2 linked regions of the Oryza sativa Japonica Group genome follow. Each later gene encodes a partner of the first gene's protein in a complex. Links are inferred from orthologs where the notes say so. Each region holds a gene or a part of one and is shown in the gene's direction. Other genes may lie near its edges. The genes, in order: nuclear-pore anchor and nuclear pore complex protein NUP58.

What was found.
Region 2: nuclear-pore anchor (region 1) and nuclear pore complex protein NUP58 share a complex: the UniProt entries of both Arabidopsis thaliana proteins name them as parts of the nuclear pore complex. The link is inferred for Oryza sativa Japonica Group from reciprocal best matches to the Arabidopsis thaliana genes NUA and AT4G37130.

What each region holds. Positions count from the first base shown.
Region 1 is NC_089036.1:31,506,152-31,515,570, reverse strand, and holds part of nuclear-pore anchor, read left to right. Parts: intron 1-592; coding exon 593-709; intron 710-1,381; coding exon 1,382-1,474; intron 1,475-2,833; coding exon 2,834-2,986; intron 2,987-3,082; coding exon 3,083-3,136; intron 3,137-4,035; coding exon 4,036-4,149; intron 4,150-4,516; coding exon 4,517-4,594; intron 4,595-4,684; coding exon 4,685-4,834; intron 4,835-5,481; coding exon 5,482-5,553; intron 5,554-6,530; coding exon 6,531-6,677; intron 6,678-6,753; coding exon 6,754-6,807; intron 6,808-6,895; coding exon 6,896-6,983; intron 6,984-7,071; coding exon 7,072-7,139; intron 7,140-7,206; coding exon 7,207-7,314; intron 7,315-8,893; coding exon 8,894-8,956; intron 8,957-9,068; coding exon 9,069-9,246; intron 9,247-9,419. UniProt on the Arabidopsis thaliana protein: Component of the nuclear pore complex. Acts as a docking site for activities required for desumoylation and mRNA export. Required for the proper expression or localization of a subset of miRNAs.
Region 2 is NC_089043.1:21,390,243-21,399,761, reverse strand, and holds the start of nuclear pore complex protein NUP58, read left to right. Parts: upstream 1-4,699; 5' UTR 4,700-4,782; coding exon 4,783-5,051; intron 5,052-5,669; coding exon 5,670-5,784; intron 5,785-5,859; coding exon of another isoform or gene 5,860-5,879; intron 5,880-5,997; coding exon of another isoform or gene 5,998-6,454; exon of another isoform or gene 6,455-6,884; intron 6,885-8,065; coding exon 8,066-8,506; intron 8,507-8,758; coding exon 8,759-9,263; intron 9,264-9,519. Other genes in the region: uncharacterized protein, read left to right, coding at 1-96, 507-687; zinc finger A20 and AN1 domain-containing stress-associated protein 12-like, read right to left, coding at 5,860-5,879, 5,998-6,454. UniProt on the Arabidopsis thaliana protein: Involved in nucleocytoplasmic trafficking. May have regulatory roles in the gibberellin pathway, in auxin signaling and in light perception.

The sequences.
Region 1 (9,419 bases):
TGCGGTGCTGATGCTTCATTACAATTGATGTGCAATCACAACTTGCAGTGATACTAATGTTATATGGAGCATGTTGCTAAATGTTTTCACCATTTTACTTGAACTGTAGCTGCTATTCTAGGCTACTATAAAAGACACCAGTGGTGGTGGTGGCTGCACCTTTTACAAACTAGTCCCTGATAATTTCAGATATTATGCGAGTCTAATATTTGTTTGAATCAAGTCAATACCATATATTCAAATAAGGAAACAAGTAATACTAGCATATTTGTTAAAAAAATATTTTGTCTATGACATATACTTTCTTTTACCCATAGCAAAGCATGGTCATTTTGCTAGTGTATGCAACTTAGTTCATAGCATCACCATCAAAGATCAGATGGCATGTACATGATACAATAAAGTAACTGAAGTATATCAAGTTCAGATTGATTTATCCTTCTTACTTATTACTTGCAATTCTTATAATGAATCTCCTTGGTGTTTATATACAATTATTTTTTTTGTACATACTGTGTTATCCTAGAATGAGGCTGTGAAAGCACTTATTGTGTGTGTGTGTGTGTGTGTATCTCTTCTGTATCTTCTGTAGGTTATTCTGCAATCGGAAACAATACAGGAGCTGACAAGTGCTTCTAAGGAGCTATCTTCTTTGCAGCAGGAAATCATAGTGCTTCGTCAAACAGTAGAAACACAGAAGGCTGAAAATGTAAATTAAAACTGCTCCACTGACCCTCTTGTCTGAACTTCTATTCATTTGGCGTGTAAGAGTAGAAGTCTTTGTGTCTTGGACAGATCTAAAGGGATGTGTTATTTGTGGCTGAACTACCCTTAAATTAGGAGAAATAAACCTTACCAGCTAATGCTTAATTTATGACGCTAGGTCTGCTAGGTGTGGCGTTACACGCTTCTGTGGTGCTTGCCCCAGTTGTCATAGCCTCACATTTTAGCTAAAGTGTTGTGCTTGATCTGGCTGCTGCAAGCCCCAGGCAAGGAACCAAATAACGTCAAGAAGTCTTTTAAAAGTTACACCTTGTACCTTCCCACTTGTTGATCCAACCTTTTTGTGGATAAAAATGGTCTTATGGCATCTAAAATTCAAAGCACACAGATTAGCGATTACCACTAGTTCTTTGCTGGTGTTCAATAAAACCTTTGCAATTTTTGACAAATCGGGTGAATCAGTCGAGGAATAGTTCAATGTGTCTACCTTTCTGATATTTCTATTCTGTGCATAACAGCAGTAATCTGGCTATACCTATACTACTTATGTTGCTTTTGGAATAGATTCATGATTAGTGATAACTTATCCTGATCGAGCTGTTCATAGGAACTAATCATCATTTGTTGTAACTAATCGACACTGCAAATACTTTTTCAGGATGGTCTAAGAACCCTTGGAGAGCAAGAAAAGATAGAGCTGGTGAAAGGAAAGGATGAGGCCTTGCAGAAATACAATGAGCTAAATGATCAGGTTTAAAAGCTTGTAGCTATCGATATCCAGTTATTCTTAAAACATTCACGTTTTTAGAATGTTATCTGATCTCCATGTTTCACTACCAAGAGCAAAAGTGGGATTTTACAAACCTAAGGGAGCTGCTTATATAGCATTGACATTAAACAACTCAAACATGAAACAAAATCCTGGCAATAGCAACAAAAGAAAAAGGGTGGATACTCCAGAGACTTCACATCCTGATTGTTGTTCCTTCCTTCCAGCCATGACTGAACCTCACTTTCGACTTGTTCTAGTAGCTTTGCTCCACCTGCTGCGCGCTTCTGTTTTCTTCTGACTTCTGCAAGAAGTACCAGTTAGTAACCCAGAAACTAACAGGAAAACTCATTTCAAATAGCCCCACTAAATGGCTGAAATCCCCGCGACAAAGTATCTGCTTTCTGTTTTGAAATGGAATACCCATTTCTCTTTAAAGAATAAAATGAAACACCCATTCTTCTAGCACCTGCAGCACATATCGAAGAATATTGTTAAAACCACGGGAACAGCTTAAGACACCCCCATTTTTGGCATTTATGATCTTTTCCAATCCTTTTCTACACAGCGATCTTTGGTTATATACTCTTTTTAGCGTTAACAAAACACAAATTTTGATTTGAGAGGAATCCTGATTTTCCACAAAATATTGTGTGCAAATTCCACTACTATCAATTCCAACCACAATTTCGGAATTACTGGGATTAGTTTGGCATAGGAACCAGAATTGATTGGTTTGATTACTATAATGCTTAATTGATTATGGGATGGGTGTCGAATTTATGGACTTCTACATGCACATTTTGAGGGGTATGTATTTTATACCTACCTATTGAGAACATACATATGAATATTTTTTAATGATACAAATAAAATTTAATAAGGCACTTGTCTACATGGTGCTTTACACTAGGGTTTCATGGGCTTATTTTTTGTTTTTTTTAACATGCTTGATAACTATTTTCATAACAGTTGCCTGTTTCGACTTTCGAGCCTTAATATAAACACTGCCTTACAAAATCAGTATATCACTACAGTAACTGATTGTACTAGTATATGCTTAATTCGTTGGCAAGATAATGCTGGATTAATCTTGTTTTTCTGGTCTAAAAGATGTTCAGCATATTTAAACCATAATCTAGAATGGTTACTGGTTGTAGTTGGTTGCCATTCATATTTTTTGTTTGCTTCCATTGCATGTCCTTCCGTTCTGTATATAAACACGGGTGGTCGTTAGTTGCCATTCGTGAAGATCACATGAATATACATTCTTGCTATTTTCTGTACTTGATGACAGTGGGTTACCATGAATCACATATTTTCTTCAAATGCTGAATGCAGAATAAAATTCTACACAATCAACTAGAAGCTTTGCACATTAGATTAGCTGAAAAAGAACGCAATATTGCTGGTCTTTCATCGCAACGCATTGATTCACATGGTGAAGATGATTTGCATAGCGTCATTGGCTACCTGCGCAGATCGAAAGAAATAGTGAGTATAAGATTCAGTGTCCTCTTCTTCTTTATTATTCCTCTACTTGGAATGGGATGTTATTTATGTAGTCTGATGGTAATTTCACTATTTCAGGCAGAAACCGAGATATCTTTGCTTAAACAGGAGAAGTCACGGCTTCAGATAGAAGTATGATCTGCTTGCTCTTGCATATTGTTATTTGTTCAAATACCCATAATTGTGCCACGTCAACTACTGTACTCCTCCATCCACAAAAGTTACACATTTTACTTTTGTCACCAAGACCATGAAGAAATTAAATTATCTTGGATGCTACAACATCAAGGAGTGAATGCAAGCATGCAACCAATGAGTATTTAGATGACTACTTGGGTTCTCATCAAACATTTAATTTATCTCTTCATTTAAGTCTTAAATACATAAAGATTACAAATAGGTACAACTTATTTGGAAAAACTCAAATGTGAAATATGTCTAACTTTTGTGGATGGAGTAAAACAGAACTCTACCTATGCTTACTTGAATTGTATGTAATTATAAAGGAACTGTTCTGTTTCTTTTGTTTTATGTAGTATGGTGACTGCGAATATTGAACTGCCACCTGCCAGACTTTGTTGTTTTGTCATTTTGTTCCATGCTCCCATTTAATCTGCCCATAGGACAATTCCATGAAGTTTCCACTGTTTGACCCATCATATTTGGCATTTGGTATCATCATGGAACCAATCCATATGGCCTTGTCTCCTTTGTGTGATTGCTTGCCAAGCTTGTCTCATTTAACTTGATCCTATGGCTCCACTCTGGTCTTGTATGAACATGTCATGTGCCTCTGTACTTTCAACACATAACTGAAAGTTATGCATTATTGTTCAATCTGTTTGTCTTGCATGATTTGAGAACTTGTTTTCACTCCTCATTTTGACTATATGATTTCCTATTATGTGTTTTTGTCTGATGTAGTTTTATCTGTGTGCCTTCCATGATATTAGAACCGTTTCCGTGCTTGATTTTGTGGGGGCAGCTTAAGGTGTTTCTAATCTGCTATAATTTTTTTCATGCTTATATAGTTGGAAAGTGCATTGAAGTCCACAAAGGAGGCACAGGACTTGCTCCGCAGTCAAACTGATAGTGCAAGAACATCAATGCTCAAGGATGAAGAATTCAAGTCACTGCAATTCCAGGTGCCATTCTTGTCGACTCCCTCCTCAAAATATCGCTATTTCTAGTGCTTAAATTTTGTCCCAGAATATAGCTATTTCTATAGTCCTACTTTCCCCACCAAACACTCGTCTGCTTTTCACTCACCTCCATTCCTCCAACTATCCCTCATTTATTTATTTATTTATTTATTTATTTTTTGGGGGGGGGGGCATCATAGTCTTTTCCGTTGATCGTTAAATCTCTCCAAAAAAGCCACAAGTTATATTTTAGGGCGGAGAGTGTATTGGGTATCTGTCATGACTGCTCCCTTTCTCTTGATTTTACTGTTGCTCTCTTATTCCTTTTTTGTAGCTTGTTTTCTTTTGTATTAAAAATGCTTTACCTCAGGTGAGAGAGCTTAATTTGCTTCGTGAAAGCAATATACAGCTTAGAGAGGAGAACAAGCATAATTTCGAAGAATGCCAGGTAAGTTTATTGATGTTGTCTTGTTTATTTCTTTTATGGTGCATGTTTTGATGTGCTTCATTGTTCTTTTTTTTTCTCTCCTGGGTTCAGAAATTCCATGATGAGGCTCAAAAGGCTAAAATGGAAGCTGAAAGGTTGCATAATCTTTTACTGGAAAAGCAGGTAGATGCTGAAATATGTAAAAAAGAAATAGAGATGCAGAAGACCGAAATAGCTAATCTAAATCAAAAGATTTCCGAGGTATGTTATTTACCCATTATCATTATGCAACGCATCATGAATATAATTGGTTTATTTATATGCGGTTAGCATTTCCTTAAGGTAGCTGACATTTGATACATGACCTTTTCTAATAAATAATAAATAAGAATTAAAATATAGCACTGTAGCAGCTAATGTTGTACTAGTACATTAGATAGAGACCATGCCAGGTCAAAAAATATTTTCTTGAACTGGAGGAAGCAAACCCTCAAATGCTGATGCTAGTTTTTTTTAGGAAACTTACATCTAAGCTAGGCAGCGCTTGTGTGGAAATGTGCGTTTGTGTACATCTGACTTGATATTCTTGGTGCTACTTGTGTCTTCACTTTCTGTCATTGGTTTTGTTATGAATGGAGGGACTTTAGGATTAGTTGCCCAGTGCATGTGCACAGAAAAGGGTGTCTGAACAGCAGACCGGTGTGCCGGTGTGTACATCGAGCAGGGGTTCTTGCATTGTGTATAAATTCAGTTTATGTTTTACCTCTTCATCAGTTAGTCTTGAATAGAATTTGTCTAGTGTTTCCCAAAGTTCTAACATTATTATTAACATTGTTATAAGCTTGCTATTATCATTGTTCTATCAGGTATTTTGTTTTGACTCTTATGTCAACTTTATTCTTCTGCAGTTGGTTGAAAATAGTAGAGGCGTTGATTTGAGCACATATGAGACCATGAAGGATGAACTTCAAAACATAAAAGTTAGTGGTTTTTTTTATTATTTTTATCTTTTCAAATCATTTTGATAAGTATTTTTAGTTATTATGTTATACTTATTCTTTTGGTGATTGAATTTGGTCTGAACATATTTTTTGTTCTATAAATTGTACTCTGATCCAAGATATAAGAACTTCTGGTATTCTTGGGGATTAAGGAAAGAGGTGAAATTGAATTGGGGATGGTTGCGATTAGTTGAGATGAGGAAACAAGTAGAGAAATTAGATGAGAAATGGTTGTGATTAGTTGGGATGGGGGAGTAGGTGAAGTTGCTATATTTTGGGACATTGAGAGTACTGATAAAATAATACTACATTTGTTCTTTTGTATGCTGGTTTGACTAGAGATCAACTGTTTAATGAAGCATTCGGTTCTGAACCTAGTTCAAGCTTGGAATCAGATAGCTACGGTAAAGAATAGGGAAAATGACCATTGGTGAGACAATTAGAGGGAGGGGACAGACAATATAGTCTGGAATAAGAACTTTTGAAGCGAAACATACTTTCTAATTATTATCGGCTATCGCTGGTATTGGACTTGTTATGCCCTTTCATGCGCATATGCTGCTCGTTTTCTAATTATTGATGGCAGTTGAGTTAGTTTCCCACTTTTCTCAACTTCTAATCGCTCGTTTTCCACACGCACACTTTTCAAACTGCTAAACAGTGTGTTTTTGAAAAAAAAACATATATATCGATTTTCAACTTTTTTTTTAAATAATACTTAATTAATCATGCTCTAATGAGTAGCCCAGTTTTCCATGCAGGAGGGATAAGTTCTCAACCTGTATTAACGAACACAGCCTTAGTGATATATAACACTGATACTGATGTACATCCCTTAATTAGCATGGATGGCTGGCTTAAATTTCATTATTTGGTCAATACGACTGAACTTAATGAGTTTGTAAGGTTGAGTTTTGTGATAAACGATTATCACATGTATTTCTTAAATACAACAGGCAACCTTGAGAGAGAATTCGGCAGAGCTAGAGCGCACAAAAAAACTTCTTTCTGAGAAGGATTCTGTAATAAGAAATTTGGAGGAAAAGCTTGCTGGATGTCAGTCTGAATTGGATGCTAGGGAAAAGAAGCTGAATGATGTTGAGGTCTGATATAATTTCCAGTAACATTCTCCTGGCCATTTTTACTTTAGTTGTATTAGTAATGCCTTTCCTTTTGCAGGCTAGCCTTAAATCTGAAATTGACAGACATAGGAAGATTAATATCAACATAAAGGTTAGGATCTTTCCCTTGTTCTTCTATTGCAAGATCGAAAGTTCATTGCTGTTTTCATGTGCTTATATCATCCTATTAAATAATGTAGAGGAAGCTTGATGCATCAGCAAAAGAGAAGGAGGAACTGACGAAAGAAAAACAAAGCCTTTCAAAGCAATTGGAAGATCTCAAATCAAGTACTTAATTAATCTTATTACTTTCACACAACCACCTGAATTATATATTTTGTATGATCACTCATGTTTTAAATTTGATATACTTTAGCAGGTCAGAAAACTACAACAGAAAATTCAAATGAACAGGCCATCAAAGAAAAGGACTTCAGGATACAGGTCAGGAGGTTGTGATTTTTATGAACATGAACTCCTTCAGGTTTCTTACATAAACATATATTAACAGACATTGGAAAAAGTCTTGGAGAAAGAGAGAGATGATAATAAGAAAGAAAAAGCATTCCGCAGAAGGAATGAGAAAGTATTTACTACCGCCATTCAAAATATGAATCAGGTATTTCTTCCTCAACTAGCCTGAGTACAGTCTTGTCTTAAAAATTTTTTTGTTTATCGTCAGTTGGGTTTAGATTGAGCACCAAATTTATCATGGAACTACTGATTTAATACAGATTGTCACAAAGCTACACATTAAGTAGCAAATTTGTCACAAAGCTACTGGTTTATTGCCAATTTAATCCCAAAACTACAACGTCTATATCTTCAACATAACTGTAGTGCTAGGGATTGAAAATCTAAAATCTGTAGTTTTTTTATAACTTGAGCAATAAATCTGTAGTTTTGTGATACTTCTCCCTAAATCTGTACCTGATAGCTTTGGGGGAGTGGATTCTAATCCCTTGAGGGGATGTCCCGTCGTGTACCTTTTTCTTTCAAATTCGATACAAATAGTTGTAAAAATTTATGAAAAAAATTCGACCTACTATTTATATCTCTCGACGTGTGCGTTGCGTTTGGACCTAAGATTTTATGGAGTTGTATACTTATGTTGTATGAGTGTTGTCGATCTTTTCCAGAATTTTTCATAACCATTTGGATGGTTTTTAAGCAAACAAGGGGACATCCCTCGAGGGATCAAAATAGTTTCCCTAGTTTTGGCACTAAATGTATAGTTTTGTGATTTGTCTTAAATCCGTAGTTTGTGAAATTTTCTCCTTTTTTTTAACCGATGCAGTAGATTTTCTAATAAGAAAAGCCAAGGAAGTAGACATTAAGATAATGAAAGATTGATATGTTGACATGTTCACAGATGAACTTAGAAAAATGAAAAACTTAATGTGTTCTGGGATATACAAGATGAAACTTTTAAGTAGGATGTTTTAGTGTATTCTAGAGTTGGAAAGTTGGCATCATTATGAATGTTCTAAAGAATAAGTGCCATTTTAAACCTTACCAAAAAATTGGCAAGCCAAATTTTGGTAAAGTTTGAGTGTTTGGTTTATAACCAAGTTTTTGTCAATGTTGCTTGTGATGTATTGATTGTTTTTGCCAAAATATTGGCAACACAAAATCTATGGCAACAAACCAAACACACACATTTTCTTGCCCTTGCCAATTTTTTTGTATAGTTTGTTTGGGCTATAAACCAAATGCTAAGTGTTCATGTCCATTGCCAAACCAACCCTGAGTATTAAGCCTATCATTATGATCTACACTTTTCGTTACATTTTCTTCTATTGAATGATTTCTTAGAATATGAAATTTCACTGTTTAAAGCTTGCAAATGTAGCATCATTTGAGTTTGCTAATGGTTAATGTTTAGCATGATCACAGGCAATTATAGTACACTATAGTAAATTATTGTCTGGGGTTTGCTTATTGGCTTTTCAGGCCATGTCCCATTCCTGTGATAGCCCTTAATGATCAGTTAGCATGCATTGCAGCTTGCTCCAACCTGTTTCCTTAGTATTTACTCGTATTTGTTACCTAATGATACATGATGTGTACCTATTAAAAATGCAACATAACAACTTCATAGTTGCTTGTTTCTCCAATAATTAATCTGTCCTGCCTGGTTAGTGTGTGGTATATGCGCACCCTCTAATCCACTTGTTGCTTTCGAAAATTAATTGCAGGAAAGGAAACAAGTAGAGGAATCAATTGAGAAGCATAGGCAGGCTGTGAAAGAGGTGATTGAGGTACAGTTTATCTGCTCCCATAGATTTCATGTTTCATTATTGCTGCTGCAAATGAAAGTTCCTAGTATATTTTATTTAGAGCTTTGCTACAGCTGATGTGCGTTCTCTGCAGCATTATACTGGAATATCCTCTCAAATCCCATCTGGATCTGCAATCGATGAGCAGCTGCGTTCATATTTCCTTGCCATCAAAGCTGTTGAGGAGTCTCCGAGTCCCTTCCAAGATGGTGCAGCAAGCCAGACACCATCTGTTGAAAGTGCCGATGTGGATGCATCTGCAGCTACTGCAGGTTCCTTTCTGTTCAATTTTTCATTCCACGCTGCTAGTGTATATTTAATGATCTCTATTAGTTAATCATAGTATCTGTTAATGACATGTGATACTTACTAGTTCAGAAATTATATTAGATCTGATCTATTACATGTACTCTTGAACTCGATGTGAATTTGGTTTTGAATGATT
Region 2 (9,519 bases), on another chromosome or scaffold:
AGAGTTCCTTTCAATCAGGAAGTATTCTCCTTATGATAACATCCAGAAGGATGTTCCTTACCCAGCAGTGTTTGTGACATCATCATTTAATACAAGGTACACTTTTCTTTGTGGGTACTTACTACCCCCATCCCCTTCTGAAACCTCTGCAGCATAATGCACAATAGCTCAACAACTTGATATTTTTTTATTTTATGTATGACTTACTACCTTCTACTTCCTCCGTTTCACAATGTAAGTCATTCTAGCATTTCTCATATTCATATTGATGCTAATGAATCTATATAGATATATATGTCTAGATTCATTAACAACAATATGAATGTGGGAAATGTTAGAATGGCTTACATTGTGAAACGGAGGGAGTAGCATTGAAGCTTGTAATATTTACAACATAACCTTAGACTAGATAAATAGAAAAGATAACTGGCTAATGGCTATTGCAAGTTTGCTTCTGTAGTTCTGTTGTCCTGGACATGAATATGTTTTGTGGTTGAAAATGGTAGGTTTGGTGTATGGGAAGCAGCTAAATGGGTCGCAAAAGTCCGAGAAGTTACTCGCTATGATCCAGAGCGGCCTGTAATTCTCAACTTGACAACAGATGTTGTAGAAGAGAGCAAGTATTTGCAAACCAAGGAATTAGCATTGGAGACTGCTTTCCTAATTAAAATGATTCATGATACATGAACATCTTGTTTATCTCTTTGAATTTAAACTCATTGCCCAAAGATGGGGAGCACATGTTACAATGTCAGGCCTCTCTTTTCAGCAATAGTCTGGAATCAACTGATTGGAGATTATCTGAGGTACCACACTTCTATTTCGTACTTTTTTTTTTCTCAGAATGTCCTGGGGGAAAATCATATGTGCATATCCCTACAGTTTATGAGATAGTTGCACGCTCACAATTCATCAGTCTCAGTTATATGGTCTGATGATTTGGAAGCCAAAATTCCTGTCTACTGGAGATCGTCTGACTCTGATCAAGTCTGTCCTGTTTGCCTTGCCGGTGCACTACCTCTCGGTGCTTGAGCTGCCACAGTGTTCGATCAAAGAGATTAATAGAAAGTGTCGGGGGTTCCTGTGGAAGGGGCAGGAGGAGGTGAGTGGCGGACATTGTTTGGTGGCTTGGAAAGCGGTTTGTATGCCGTTTGAAAAGGGAGGGTTGGGTATAAAAAGCCTGGACTTCTTTGGCAAAGCGCTTCGGCTCAAGTGATTGGCTAAGAAGGGTGAGCAGCAAGACCGGCCTTGGACAACAGTTGCGACTGTGGAGCCGAAAGATCTGAGAGACCTCTACTACTCAGCATCACGGCAAGAGGTAGGAGATGGAAAAAACACGAAGTTTCGGCTTGCGGACTGGTTGCCAATGGGAAGCATAAAATCGAGGTTCCAGTTGATTTTCAGCCATGTGGAACGCACCGGCTTGACAGTGGCTCAGGGGTTGAGGAACCACAGGTGGGTGTGTGACATCAAAGGTGCGCCATCTAATCGAGCCATCGGGGAGTATTTTCAGATTTGGGATGCAGTCCAGGAGGTGCAGGTGCAAGGGGGAGAGGAGGATGTGACTGTTTGGAAGAGGGCTGCAAATGGGAAGTTCACCCCTGCTTCGGCTTACGAACTGTTCTTCATGGCAAATACAGAAGCGAGATGTGGCAGTCTGATTTGGCACACTAGAGAACCTTCCAAAGTGAAATTTTTTATGTGGTTGGCCGAGAGGGAGGTGTCTCACGGCCGACAATCTCACCAAGCGAGGATGGCCACACCAACAATCCTGCCCCCTCTGCATGAGCAATGACGAAGATTGCGAGCACCTCTTTGTCTCCTGTCCTTACACTTCAAATGTCTGGAGAAAGATCAAGGGTTGGATCGGTGCCGGGTTCCAGCTGCCGGCAGAGCTCGGATTGGACCTTGGAGATTGGTGGTTGGAGTGGTGGCAGGTCTTTCAAACCAGCCAGAGGAGCGCATTTGACACTTTAGTGCTGCTGGTCTGTTGGATGATTTGGAAGGAAAGAAACGCTCAGAGCCGAACAGCGGGGTTCCTGTTTGGCGCAATTAAAGATGAAGCGGCAATCTAGAAAGAAGCTGGGGTTTTCAATGTTTTAGGAGAGTAACAACCTTCTGTAACTTGTTTTTCTTTTAGGAAGTTGCTGCGATGGCAACATCCTTTCACTTCGACAGCCTCTTGTCGAAGTCTGAAACTTGTATATGTGTAAATACCCCTTTTCTTAAGTAAATTTGGTCCGCCTATCTTAGGCCGGCCTGGCTAAAATATGGTCTGATGATCTGATCTGCTATCACGAGGGCAGTTCTGACGTCCAACAAGTCCACAACGCATGGTATCTGCTACCAAGTGCTGCCCATGATTCCTTGTTGGTAAAATTTATCTTTGTTATGCTGCTACCATTGGATCATTTTCAATTCTCAGTTGCTTATCTACACAATGAAATTGATGTTTTTTTACCTTCGTTTTTCAATCATGGAATTGATATTTAATATCTCATGTGCTAGATGATGCCTCATGCCCTCACCTGCTCATGCTCGTTTCCATGTCAAGTTAATAGTACTACCAAAATTTACTTATGCTATGTCATATATGAAAGCTGATTTGATATAACTGGTTGCTAGGGGGAACAAAGCTCTTGCACACTTGGCTTGGAGCATTAAGGCAATTGCACCATAACAGAAGCGGACCAAAATATACCTTATCTAGTTATCTGGCTGCTTGCACCACACTATTGTTTTATCCTTCTGTTCTTAAAATCTGCATCTTATGACTGCCCAAGTGATAGCTATGACCTTGTGGGTCAGGTGAATTTAGCGTCATGAAGTGGATGGAACAGTTGGACACTACTTGAATGACCATATGTCCCTGCTGATATGAAGGCTGTAACAAAGCACAGGTTGGAAATCTGCTGCAGGTTGTGACAGCACTGCGTATTGGAAATTCAGTTGTTAGACTTTGCTCTAGGATCACCTAGGTTAGATCTAGTCGGGTGGTTCTATTTGGGATTGATGTTTGAACTATAGAGATTGAAAACGGGAGAGGGTTTAGATAGACCGACCGGTTGAGGAGTTCGTGGAGGAAGAGGCGCCGGACATCGTCGTTGTCGTCGCGGCTTGACGTGGATGCGACGCCGGTGAGGTCGACGGCGATGACGGCTGCGGCAGTGGTGGTCGTAGACGTCCCGGCGATGAGGCGTGGCGCGGCGGTGGCGTTTCCCGTCACTGGCTGCGCCCCCTCTCGATCGGATTAGGGTTTTGTGGGGTGGAGTTGGCGGCGGCGGTGAACTTCGTACCTTGTGCCGTGCCGGCCTCCACCCCTCTTTTATATGGCGCAGTGTGACGGGGGCCCACCAGCCATTGGGCTGGGCGCCCCCCGATCAGGGCGCGGTCAAGGCCCTCTTGAGCCGTTGGGCTCAAGGGGAGGGAGATCTATCTAACATCAGTTACTGCGAGATTTCATCAGATGGAACTTAGAGCTTCGTTTTTGTCTTCTGGTTTTCATTCTTCAGTTAATCTGTGATAAATTGAACTTCTACGCATCTCAATTTATATTAGTTATGAGTATCAATATGGTCCTCCAGATACTCTTTTGACGTCTTCAATGTGGATCCGTGACCAAACCTTCGTTTTTTTTTCCATAATGGTAATCTTTTTTTTTGAGGACATTCATAATGGTAATCAGAGTATAATTTTTCCTTGTGAAAAGGTATTGCTGGTGGTATATTAAGGATTTGTAGCATAATTGTCACCATGATTTTTAAATGTTTCGAGCTACGTTTTTGTTGTTTTGGATAATTTGAAATAGAAAAAGGTGAGTACAAAGGAGCTTTGATTCCAACCTTTCCAAAGTGAAATTTAAGCAAAATTTGTTGTTTGGGTATTGCGTTTTAGCTTCATGGTTTTAGCTGTAGAGATTTTTGTAGAATTGGATCTTTGGAGAAATACACTTATAAATTGCAGCGTTTTTGCCACTACACACCGTTACCAATATTTTATTATATTGGCATGGTGAGGAGTGAGGAGACGCGTGAAGGTTTGAAATACCCTTGAGTTATTCCAATTAGGCCAAGTGAAATGTTATTGGAGTATACTCTTGGTACCCGTCTTTGCGAGGTGAGCGTAACGCTAAAATAAATGTTGGGTCAAGCATGTTTAGTTGTAGTCAGGATGATATCATTGCTCACCCAACGAAGTGTAATGGCTCAGTACGCTCGATGAGACAAGCGGTGGCAAACAGGTGTAGGAGCATGCCATGGCACACATTGAGCACCTTTGGGAAATGACGCATGATCTCGGTAGGGAGGTCCGAATCTAGCTCTACCACTGCGTGGACCATCTTACCATCGCGTGGAGCAAAAGCTGACAATGTGTGATAAGGACTTTACCTCACTTAACCACATTTCAAGTGACTGGCTTTTGCTGCGCCAACTACATGTAAACCTATAAAGTCAGAGTATGCATTGGTAAAAAATATCTAAAATGTAATGTTCCTTGCAAAATAAAACGGCAAAAACTTACAGTATGTAGAAATTTCCTTAGTAAGAAAACAATGGAAAGGACAAACGTGAAATTCAATTTTGAAATTCTTCCGACCCGTTTTGCCTCCAGGGGTAAAGCCGTCATCTTAACACTGCCCTCTCAAACCTTTTCGGTTTTTTAGGGTTTAATAACTCTTCGAGCCCACCGTGTCCGGCCCAGAGCCCACTAGCCCCCCTCGATCCCACCGGCGACCTCCCGCCGCCTCCGCCGGGGACAAGCCCCCCTGCGCGCCGCGCTGCAATGGCGTTCTCCTTCGCCTCACCGGCGCCGCAGAATCCGTTCCAGACGCCGGCGCAGGCCCCGTCCCTGTCTCCTTCGCCGTTTCAGTTCAACCTGCAGCAGCCGCAGCAGCAGCAGCAGCAGCCGCCGCCACAGCAACAGGCGGCGCCGGCCGCGCAACCGCAGCAGCAGCAGCTGATGCTATATACGACGGACGGGAAGCCCGCGGGGTACAACACGAAGTGGGAGGAGCTTCACGCCGAGTCGCAGAAGGCGCTGCTCCAGATCGAGTATGGTTTCCCTCCCCGGTTTCCCCTATTTTGTGGCAAATGAGAGTGCTTGTTCGTGATTGAACTTAGTGTTTAAGCGTCTTTGCACTGCAATTTTTTTCTTGATCTGTAGTCAACTAAAATTGCTCCATCTGACTTGGTAAACGCAATCCTTGTTGGTATGCTATTATTATTTTTTTGTTATATGGGTATACTAGTCAGCTTAGGCCCTAGTGGAATTTGCTGCTGCTGGGTTGGTGATAAGGTGGAAAAGTAGTTTCTTTTTTCTGTCTGTGGTTTAGATTTAACGCTTTATGCGATAAGCTTGTGCCTTTACAGTCTCTCAGAGATCAGTTTGCTTTAAACAAATATGTTCTTCTAGCAATATATACTATGGAGGGCTACTGTTTCTGATGGTTTAGCAGATCATTGTTTACTTGGGTTTCAGGGGAAGGGGAAACACGTTTTGTGCTCTATGATCTATGCCATTTGCTACGGATTACTTAAGCTACTGCCTCATTTTGCATTGATGTGGTCAATACATGGGTTTTAGGGTTAGAGAGTTCAGTTTCTCTGTTTTTGTTACCTGTTTGGGACTTGGCATGCTATTGGTGTAATTTTTCACTTTGAATTTTGTAGGGATAAAATAAGGGAGTACAGGGACGAGAGCGAGAGGTTGGATCAGTGTTCTCGCCTTCATGACTCTTCAATCTCAACTGTCAATTTTGAGAATGATGCAAGTGAAATTGCTCAGGTTGGACTTGCTTTTCTTGCTTTTGTCAGTCGTACATGAGACGCTTGATTATGTGAGTCTTTTACCCCTATGCCATTAAGAAAGTTGCTGCTTACCTGTGTGCCACAAAAAAGTTTGGAGTTACGTGTATGCCATGAGCCCAACTTTCGTTGACTCGTGTGCCATTTTGGATGAATGGAGACATAACAGAGGTGTTAGGGGCTGTGTAAAGACAGTTTTGCCCTTGCAGCCCCACCTTCTTCCGGCACGCCACGCACCTGTTCGGCTTCGCCGGCGCCGTCGACGATGATGCGGCGGCGGTTGCCTCCTCCTTCCCCTTGAGCGACGACGTCGGCGCCGTGGCGGCCGGAGTCATGGGGACGATGATGTTGGGAGTGGAGGCGGTGGCGGTGGCCGGCGACGTCGCCTTGAGGTGGTCGCGGTAGCACTTGGAGCACATGTTCTTGGTCTCCTTGCTGCTGAAGAACCCACAGCTGCTCGCGCACAGCGCTAGCTGCTCGTCGGCGGCGGCGGCGGCCGTGCTCGCCTCCTCCTCCTTGTTCGCGACGTCAGGCGCCGCGGCGGCAACCGCCGCTGACGACGCCGCCTCCTTGAGTTGGTCCCGGTAGCACTTGGAGCAGAGGTTCTTGGTCGCCTCGCTGCCGAAGAACCCGCACCCGTTCGTGCACATCGGCGCGCCGCCGCCGCCCGCCGCCGCTAGCTAGCCCGATGCTACAAGTGGTGACGGTGTAGCCGCGCTCCGGTCACCGGAGAGATCAGTCGTCAGCCCTCGCGGCCGGTGCTTGCTGGAGAGATCTCGCCGGCCTGGGCGCACGGCGACGGGTCCGGCGAGGCCAGGCGGCGGCGACGGGTCCGGCTCTGCTAGGCGGCGGCGGCGGCGTGCGGCTAGGGTTAGGGTGCGGCGGCGTGCGGCGCAATGGGGAGAGAGCAGGCACTCCACGGGAGATAGCAGGAGAGGAGAATAGAGCTGAAAATCCTTCAGGGGCAAATTAGTCATTTTCATACATGGTCCCACATGTCAGAACTACAAAACCGTTAAGTTGTAACAGAAGGTGGACGGAATGGCACACGGGTCAACGAAAGTTTTTCTCATGGCATACAGGTGACTCCAAACTTTTTTGTGGCACATAGGTAAGCAGGAACTTTTTTAATGGCATAGGGGTAAAAGACTCTGATTATGTTGGTCCTATTTCGTAACTGATATGGGATTTTGTCAGTTGACAGTTTAGAAAAATAGCAGAACACTTTCTAGAAGAGATATTTCAGTATTTTTTCACATAGTCAACAGTAGAAAGAATGAGATGCCTACACGCATTGTCTTCAAAGAAACATATATTGTACCCATTGGAAAATTGATCAGTTACTGACCAGCGAATTAGAAACTATAAAATCATGCTCAATCACCTTGAGCTCTCTATTGGAGAACTATGTCTCTGCTTCCTCTTCTTTTTAAGGATTAACTGAAAGTAAATATAAACTTTGGGCTGCGAAGATGACAAGAACCTCTATTTTCTGTAATGCTTTAGTTTTGCCCTGAACAATGAACAAATTAGCACAATGGAGTATATTGTTAATGAAACTCGATAAAGAAAATAATCAGCTTATCCCTTGTAGCAAGGTTGGGTTCACCATCCTGATTGTGCAGCAGTAAGTGTAATCAGATCATTAACAGGCATTGTTAATTCAAAATCAATATCTACCCTTAAATCTTGAAATGTTCCTGAGCCACAAAATCATAATTAGCTTCAATTTGGATAGCATATCAACGCATCAGTGCTGAAGGGTACATAGTTTTACCTTAAAACTGGAGAGGGAATGAAGTTCATAACTATCTCCTACAACACACATTTTTATTTAGTGGTAATTCATGGTTCTTTTAGTTCATAAGTTGACTAGTTGATAATTATTAGGATTTACTGATTCATGAAATACGAACACATGAATCCATAAAAAACATTCCTAATTACTACCCACTTTGGTCAGAAACTTGTGGAACTTTAAGTATCAAAATCTTTTTCAATATTTAGATTGGAAAATAAAAAAAACATATATGTAGAATACTAGAGTTTTCTTGGTAAGTTTCAACCAAAATACTGTATTTCTGCGGGACTCTATAAATATTTTAAAATAGAATCAGTTGTTAAGGTTCTGTGTGGGAACTGTGTCAATGTCCAAGACAATGTTTTTGTCTAACCATGTAATGTATTTATGATCACAATTTTGTTACATATTCCTTATACCAATCCTTTAATTTATGGCTAAATATTTCCTGCTCTAACAGGAACTTGGAGGGACAACCACCATGATGGAAAGAGAGAAGGCTTCCGTTCAAGAGTTAATGACTGTTGTGAATGAAATGATGCGAAACACAGAATTTGCTATTAGGTCATATATGATGCTGAGACCAAGATTTATCCGTCCAGGTGCTGGAGCAAATGGTGGTGGCTCAAATCCTTCTGGTCCTGCTGGAGCTCAGTCCAATCAGCCAGTAGCATTGGCTCCAACCATTGATTTCTATAGTGGTATCCCAAAGCGGCCTTCCCATTTTATGCAACAGACTATCAACAGGTTTGAGAAATATCTTGGAGAATGCTGCAAGTGGATCGCGGAGCTAGAGCAGCTTGTTCAAATGGAGAACAATAAAAGGCAATCAGCCTCATTAGAATCTCTACCGAAGGTTATGTCGAATGTGCATGATTATTTCATCTATGTTGCTTCTAAGGTAAATCTCCTTTTTCATACACACACTGCAGTTGAACTGTTAAAATGCATTTATTTTGAGGTTCTCCCCCATGATATAAATCATTTATTATGTAATATAGTCATAAAAATAAATGTAAATCTGTAAGTCAACCAAATTTTTTTTGTAACAGCTGTATCTCGTGAAAAAAATAAGAGAGATTGCTTACTTTTAGGCTTGCTGCACTGCCTTGGTGCGATACCCAGTATTTTCTAATGTTTGTATTTTTTTTAGGTGGAAAATCTTCATCAATATGTTGAGTCATTGAAAACTGAATATCTACATGAGCAGCGGCGATTGGGTAATGCCAATGATCCATTTTTAGAGGCAAATAGACGAGAAGCGGCTAAACAAGAAGCAGCTGCCAGAAGGGTACATCCAACATTGCATTTGCCTGCTCCTGTACAGCCCACAACTCAAATTGCTGGAACAGTGACGAGTCAACCACAGCAATCATTGATTCCTTCTGGAGCGACTTCTTCAAGTGCTTTTCCATCATTCAGCACTCCAGCTTCCGCTCCATCTTCTTCAAGTCTCTTTTCAACTCCAACAACTCCAACTCTATCCAGCAACCTTTTTGGTACATCTGGATCAGCCCAGCTGTCCACACCATTTGGGACAGTCTCTACTCCAACGCTTGGATCAACGCCGGCTCCATCTGGATTTGGGAATACAACTCCATCTTTTGCTTCAACGCCCGCTTTAGGTGGAACCTCACTGTTTTCTACGCCGTTCGGAGGTATACAAACTCTCACCATACTATATTTATATTTCCTAACTGTTAGATAGTCATATGCTTATGATAAGTCAGTAGCTATCTGAAAACAATTTGGTACTTTTATGTTGTGAAATTCTCATTTTAGATGATCTCGTCATGGTATATAAACATTTCTGAAGTGTTGGCACATCTACAGTTTGATTTCATCATGGCAATTCATAGCTCTAAATTTGTTGTTATGTTTTTGGTCTGAACTGAAATTTGTTATTGGCAGCAG